Drosophila melanogaster: one gene and its partner. The protein of the gene in region 1 purifies or fractionates together with the protein of each later gene. This does not show direct contact. Each region holds a gene or a part of one and is shown in the gene's direction. Other genes may lie near its edges.

The links. The genes of interacting proteins can lie anywhere in the genome.
Region 2: the proteins of Akap200 (region 1) and Lamp1 purify together in Drosophila melanogaster (affinity purification with mass spectrometry, with the first as the bait; one large-scale study listed by BioGRID). This does not show direct contact.

Annotation. Positions count from the first base shown.
Region 1 is NT_033779.5:8,413,940-8,417,694, forward strand, and holds the start of Akap200 (A kinase anchor protein 200), read left to right. Parts: upstream 1-1,750; 5' UTR 1,751-1,947; intron 1,948-3,755. Other genes in the region: CG13398 (uncharacterized protein), read right to left, coding at 1-940. UniProt on the Drosophila melanogaster protein: Scaffolding protein involved in the regulation of PKA signaling and anchoring to the actin cytoskeleton integrating signals propagated by cAMP, diacylglycerol and calcium.
Region 2 is NT_033779.5:21,571,762-21,575,516, forward strand, and holds the start of Lamp1 (Lamp1), read left to right. Parts: upstream 1-1,627; 5' UTR 1,628-1,733; coding exon 1,734-1,800; intron 1,801-3,025; coding exon 3,026-3,352; intron 3,353-3,755.

The DNA of each region.
Region 1 (3,755 bases):
GCGGCTGATCAAGATCCAGCACTATATAGTTTACTCCGCAGCTGCCCGCTAAGCTGGTGGGCGTGGCCGGCTCTTGATTGGAAATTGGTTCCCTCGGCAGCAGAGGGAGCTCCAAGCGATTTACGTTCTCATAGCAGCGCTCATTGTTCAGATCAAAGATCAGAGCTTCCACATTGGCGTACATGTGCACAGCATCGTTGGGACTCAGAACTGGAGCTGGTGCTGGGGCCGATTCCAGAGGTGGCAAGTCCATCGTGCGCCTACGTGATGTCAACCTATTGCCGGAGGGCGGGGTGGAAAGCAAATCCGAGGCGGTGCCTTCCAGACAACAGTCCTGCAAAGCCCGCAATGGCTGATCCAAATAGGCACTGGGTATCAGGACTGGTGATTGCAAATTGGGCGGAGAGTCATCGACTTGCGAATCGTTGGCCTGCAGCGGATACGATGCACTTGTGCTCGAGGGCTCACTGTGGAAGTTGCCCAACTGGCGGCTCATTAGGGGAGCCGGCTCTAGATAGTTATTGCCCTCAGTACGGCCCATATTTACGGACACCGAATGAGCGGAGTTAACCCTTTCTCGTTCGCCCTGCACAAAGGCATCTGTATTCACCGCGTTGATGTAGCGCTGAAACATCGGATACAGCTGCTCGGCATTGTGGACTCGAAACGTGTAGATCCCTGGCCCAGACATACACCTACGTCCTGCTTCGAAGGAGAAGAGATCGTTATTCAACCCATAACGTCGGAGGTGTTGCAGTGCCCAGACAATGGGCTCACAGCCAGGCGACTGGAATATTAGTTCCCGGGGCGTTAGCTCCAGGTAGCCACTCCGGATGATGGGCGTACCCGGGGTGGGTTGCAGGTGAGCCACTCGCACTCGAAACACATTCTCATGACCGCGCAGCTCATTTAACTTGCTGCTGCTGGTGATGCAGCCCATGGTGTTGCACTGAAAGACGGAGTATTATGCATTGAAGGATTATCCACTCCAGTCATGTACAGTGCCTATTGAAATGCACACCTGGACAGGCAAGTCCGCCTGGCTGTTATCGCAGCGGGCATGGAAGAAATCGCAGGCCGATAAGAGCACCACCCACCGCCTCCACCAGCTGAAATCAGCTACCCAGTGGAACTGGAGGCTCTGGGGTGCAGTCGAATTGTGTTGCTGTTATCCTGGTTGACTCCTCCTGCTTTGGTTAACTCCTGATCGACGGGACTGCTGGCTGATTGTTGTTATTTGGCCACGGAAATTCCGTTCTTGTGGTATAAAATTTCTTCTGCGACTTTTCCCCTCGCCCGACAGAACGCAATTGTGAGCAACGGGCATGCTAACTTGATTTTCGCAAAAAGACTTACAAGAAACGCTTTTTAAAAAAGTAAACGGAAAATCAAAGACAAATTACAAGTAATTACACTTAAAGAATGAAAAACTAGTTTAGCCAAGTTTAAGCCAAGGAAATATTAATATTTCAAAATTTATAGAAAAATATTGCAAATGTCAGCTTAATAGAAGTTTTCTCTCGTTTAATAGAATAATCTTGAAGATTTCTTACGTCGTAATTTTTACGTTTCTGCAAATGTTTACTGCAATTAACAAGTAATAAATAGGATTCAGATGTAAACAAATATAATTTATAAAAAAATTTTAAGTTAAGGCATTTTAGTCATCTTAATTGTATGGTTAACCATTTGGCGGAACATCAACTTTGTGGACAGCACTATAACTAGACCCGAAGCCCTAACGCGTTCTAACTGCGAAAACATCCTAACGCGACGTAAATACCAGACCCGAGCGGACATTTTTTATTTGTGGAGCGCGCAACAAGAACGAGAAAAGAAACCGAAACGGAAAGCAGGCAAAAAGAGCTGCTGCCAGTGTAGAATCGCAAAGCAAAGAAAGAAGCAAGTGCGTGTGTTTTTAAACCGAAACCGAGAGAATCGAGCCAGGTAAATTCCACTTTAAGTCATAAGATCAGAACATAAAGGAGTTAATTTAAAAAAATAAATGAAAAAGAAACCAAAGCCAAGCAGGCAGACGGCTTGCGTGTGTGTGTGTGCGTGAGTGGTGCTACTTTTGAAATTCTCTATACCCGCTTTGAATTTCGTGTTTGTTTAAAGGAATTGTGATTGAAAAGGAGACAAAGAGTTATTGACGAAAAGTTTCTAACTGGTTTCAAAAATGGTAACTGTATTTGAGGCACAAGTGTTTGTAAAAGAGACGCCCGCCGACGCTCACACACACAGGCAGGAAAAAGGACGCCATGGAAGGCGGCTTAGTGTGCGTGAACGGTGAAGAATGGGAGAAGCGAAGACTAAAAGAGATATTTAAATGGAGTTTTATGCATTTAAGGAGAACTTTCTTTGTCATTAACCCCGCCCCCGCAAAATACAGCATTCGAATTTCGCCACCTTGGAGTAGTTGCCTTTTTACAAAATTTTTGGGTGTGCCGCCTTCAATGCGTCGGCGTTGCCACCACGTCGGCGTCCGCAGCAGCAGCGCAGGCAGTGACGGCGGCAGAGGCAAACACCATGCCGGTGTGGCTTTGTATCCGTATCCGTCTCGCTCTCTCTCTCTCTCTTTGTCTCTTCGGCTCAATCTAGCGCTCTCTCCTTTTTGTGCCTCGCCTTCCTTCGCCTCGCCCGCTCATCGCTCTGGTCCTTTGTGCCATCGCTTCGCCTTGACTTCTGGTTCATTGTCGTTGTCTCCTCTTTGTTTGCATTGTACGCCTGATTACACTTGCCAACATGTTTCTACCTTCTCAGCCAAACATCCTTGTGCAAGGTGCACGCACATAGCGAGTGCCCACTGTGGCCATTTGATCTTTGTATACGTTTCGATCCCTTTTGCGTCTCGGTTTACTCAGATTATCGATACGAGGAGGATCGTCTTTTTGTTTTTCCTACACTTTTGTTGCGAAAAACTGCGTCGCACTTTCTGCAGCGTCGGTTTGTCAGTTCGTCCGTCCGTCCGTCACTCAGTCGTTCAATCGCTCAATCGCAGACGGGCAGACAGCCACCGCCCTAACTGGCGTCGCCTACATGTCTTTGTGTGTGTGGTGTATGTGCTTGCGTGCCTGGGGTAGTGTGCCTGTGTGCGTGCCTCGCTGCATGTGTGAGTCCTTTACGAATGGAGTGGGTGGGCAGAGGCCGAGGAGGAAGAAGCAGAAGCGCAATCACAAGATTTTCGATTGTCAACTGCAATTTATACTACTGCTAAGAGAATTTTATGATCTACTTGCAACGCTGAATGCTAATGCCTTAAATTTTAGTAGCCTCTGTCAAGGATCTTAAATTCAAGTTCTTGTCACAATCATATTTCTTAAGTATATAATTACTTTTATTGTTAAATATTTGTACTGTACTTAATACGTAAAACGTATTTGACAAGTGAAATTTCATGATTGCTCTACTGAAATCTTTTCTTTGAAAATGAATGCTCTTCTTTGTGTTCTAACCTGACCAAATTTATTTGTCAGTGACCCAATTTAGGCACCAAAACTGTAAATATTTCCGAAAATCTTATCAATTTGCCTGTTGAAAATTTGATTAGGAATGGAGTTTGCATTCTGAATTTTCCCCACTCCCGAAATTTGAGCAAATTGAATTATTTCGCTGCGATTTCAGGTAGCGGTCGCCAACCGAATGTATCTTTGAAATTGGTTTATTGTTAAGGAGGAGGGGAGGGCGCCCCATAGAATTTGTGGCGGGTTTTCCCTTGAAGTCGGCTCGAATTTCGTGTACATATTTGCCAGTCG
Region 2 (3,755 bases), about 13 Mb from region 1:
CCATGAAAAAAACTCCACCGTTCCGCCAAAGACCCTAGAATAACAAGATGCGTAACGCCATACGATTTTTTGGCACACGATTTTTTGGCCGTGGCTCTAGAGGTGGCTCCAGGCTCTCTCGAATTTTTGTTAGAGAGCGAGAGAGCGAAGAGCGCTACAGCTAACAACTGTATGTGTGCACACGTATGCTCATGCATTGTAAATTTGACAAAATATGCCCTTCACCTCAGAAGTTCTTAGACTTTAAATCTATATTATTTTTGATCAATTGGCACCATGCGAAAAATTCTTGTTTTGCATTGCCTTAACGTTATTATTGTTTGAAAATAGATTAGAAATAGCCAAATCTATGTACATATTATCACAAAAATAAATTTCAAAAATGGCTTTATATTAGAATATTTGTCATTAGAGTATTCATATTGAGGCGTGTGAAAAATTAATAAGGCAATGATTGTTGAGTGCTTGTGTCCGCACTTCGTGCCGCAAGATATGAACAAAGCAAAGACACTAGAATTATTCTAGTGTCTTTGATATGACTTTTGCAATAAACAGTTATCATATTTTTATGAAATTTATGAAATTACAGTAGTTATAATAATTTCTATTGTACTTCCTTTAATTATTTAGTATATTTATTAAGTCATTTGACTTAATATGATGTAACATTAACATTAAAAGTGTTTAAAAAAAATATTTCGCTTTTAAAAAATTGTCAGATGAAAGACAAATTAGAATTAAACAAAAATATAAATGTGTAAACGGATAAACGAATAATTCTAGTGTCTTTGCTTTGTTCATATCTTGCGGCACGAAGTGCGGACACAAGCACTCAACAATCATTGCCATATTAATTTTTCACACGCCTCAATATGAATACTCTAATGACAAATATTCTTACATAAAGTCATTTTTGAAATTTATTTTTGTGATAATATGTACATAGATTTGGCTATTTCTAATCTATTTTCAAACAATAATAACGTTAAGGCAATGCAAAACAAGAATTTTTCGCATGGTGCCAATTGATCAAAAATAATATAGATTTAACGTCAAAGAACCTCTAGGGTGAAGGGGATATTTTGTCCCATTTACAATGCATGAGCATACGTGTGCACACATACAGTTGTTAGCTGTAGCGCTCTTCGCTCTCTCGCTCTCTAACAAAAATTCGAGAGAGCCTGGAGCCACCTCTAGAGCCACGGCGAAAAAATCGTGTGCCAAAAAATCGTATGGCGTTACGCATCTTGTTATTATAGTGTCTTTGGTAATACCTAACATTTTTTCATTAAGTCAATGAACTCAAAATATGGAAATTAATTTATAAATATTTCCACTGTGTTATAAACCCTGTGTGTTATAAACCTGTGTTATATAAACCCGTGATAAAATTATAACATGTTATACATATAATTCTTTCGATTGATCAGAAATTAAATGTTTGATAAGAAAATGTACTAATTGTATTATATTATGGAATTAAGAATATATTTTTTGGTATATTATTATTATAAGTTTCATTAAATATCGATAGACATCTTGCTGTAGTGGACATGTACTATTATTACGGTTCCATATGGGCTAATTTTAGTTCTTTTAGAAATTCGGTCACACTATTGATGAAGAAGGTCAAAATAAAAACTAGCTCAGTCGAGACAAAAACGTATGTGTCAGTGTAGTAGATTAACGTATAGAAAAACTGCAACACAACTTAAGTGAGATTGCCATTCAATATGTTCGCCAACAAATTGTTGACCTGCTCGGCATTACTAATAATGTTATTTTTACTAAGCAGTACAGGTTAGTGCCAAGCCAATTAAACCCTTTTTAAAACAGCAATGAAATGCGTCGCATTGGAGGCCTTTGTTCAATGTGATAATACATCGCAGTTCTTTTTATATGTATATGTATGTCGTTTGTTCATCGCACATAATTTATTTTTCCGGTGCCGTTCACGTCGCCATATGCGTTAGTGTCTTATCGGCGTAATAAGGTGTAAACGGTTGAATTGCGAGTTTTGCCTTCGTAGATCAAGGGTTTTAAACCTATTTCAGTAATCTGGCTATCCTTTCATAACTCTTCTAGAAAAATGGTGTCGCTTACGTTCGTTAGCCCCGGAGAACATCCATTTTTACCCCTTTCGCTTATTTGTTCTGGCAATTTACAGTTTTGTATGCAGATAAAGTCATCCGCCACCGTATGCATCCATATTTATTTTATGCACTTAAAATATTTATATGCATGGGTGTATAAATCGGCATATCATATTAAATTTGTATCCGCCATATAGCATACTTTAGTTTTTGGTTACTATCTGTCAATTCATATAACAAGATTTTGGGTCATTTGTTCAATACCAATGTTAGACATTTGTGCACATAGTATATACAAAATAATATATGACATAAAAAAAACAATCTGTGATAAAATAACAACAAGAGATAACGCTATAGTCGGTTCTCTGACTATCAGACTATGATAAGCGGATAAGACAACAAAGACTTGGAGCTAGACTGGGCATATGTATGTACCTACATATTTGGGGAGACATATTAAAATAAACAATTTAAAACATTTTTTTTTATAGCATGCGTGATAAAATGTTTCGGCATAGCAACAGAAGGATAAATGATTAAATCAGAAAATATTTTTTATTTTTTAATTTGTAGTGTGTTCCTACTAATCTTATCTTGTTAAATAGTTCTATAACCAGACCGAATTTAAAATTCGATTTCGACCTTATACATTTGGTTTGTATAAATATTTGACAATATGTTACGGTACGGCCATTTTCATAGGATCTCTACAAATCACTGAAAACGGAAATAAATTGTCCATCAAGTCCAAACTCACTAATATAAATAACAAAGGGTAATTTTTTGATAAGAGAACAAAGGAAATACAATTAGAGCTAACCATATGTACATTTGAATCTCTAATAAATAATTTTTTTTTCACGTCAATTTAAAGAAAATTCCGATTTAATAAAGAAAAGCTTTAATATTTTTAAAAATTCTTCTTTTAGTGTTCTCTCAAAAGCTTATTGGCTTGCCGAGAGTCGGTAAAAATGTTAGTGATTTGTTTCTGGAACAAGCAAACCCACTGACCAGCAGCTCCTCAACAATCTCAACGTCTTCGACAACAACTGAGAAACCTATCACAACCAGATCAACTTCTACAATAACTCCGAGATCTACCACACCTTCAACGGAATCACCATCGACCACCGCACCAGTGATAAGCACGACCATTGCCCCGCAACCATATCCGCAACCATCCATTGGGGCTTGGAATACCTCTTGTATTATGCTTCAAATGGCGGCACAACTTAATTTTACCTATGAGGCTAGGGGTAAGAAAATAAATCCATATTTAGATTGCGATCGAATTACGGCATTGGTGAGGTATGGGCTCTATTAGATTTTATAGAAACTCGTCTCACAGTTTTAACATTTTAATGAACTTACTGAAATCGATAAGGCAAATATTTCAGTTTAGATTAAAAAGAGATGTACATATGTAAGGATATATGTATGTATATTATATATATTATATTTACATCACTGTACACATAGAAATGATAATCAAGTTTTCAGACAATAACGAGTGATGCACTAATGATGCACTAAGGGTAACGTAAGGATAAAGACGGAGCGCAAGTTTGTTGACCCATGTTGCCACGTCCACAAACCATTTTTTTTCCCATTTTATTCCCCAATATCTATCGATATCCCAGAAAAATTATAAAAGTTGCG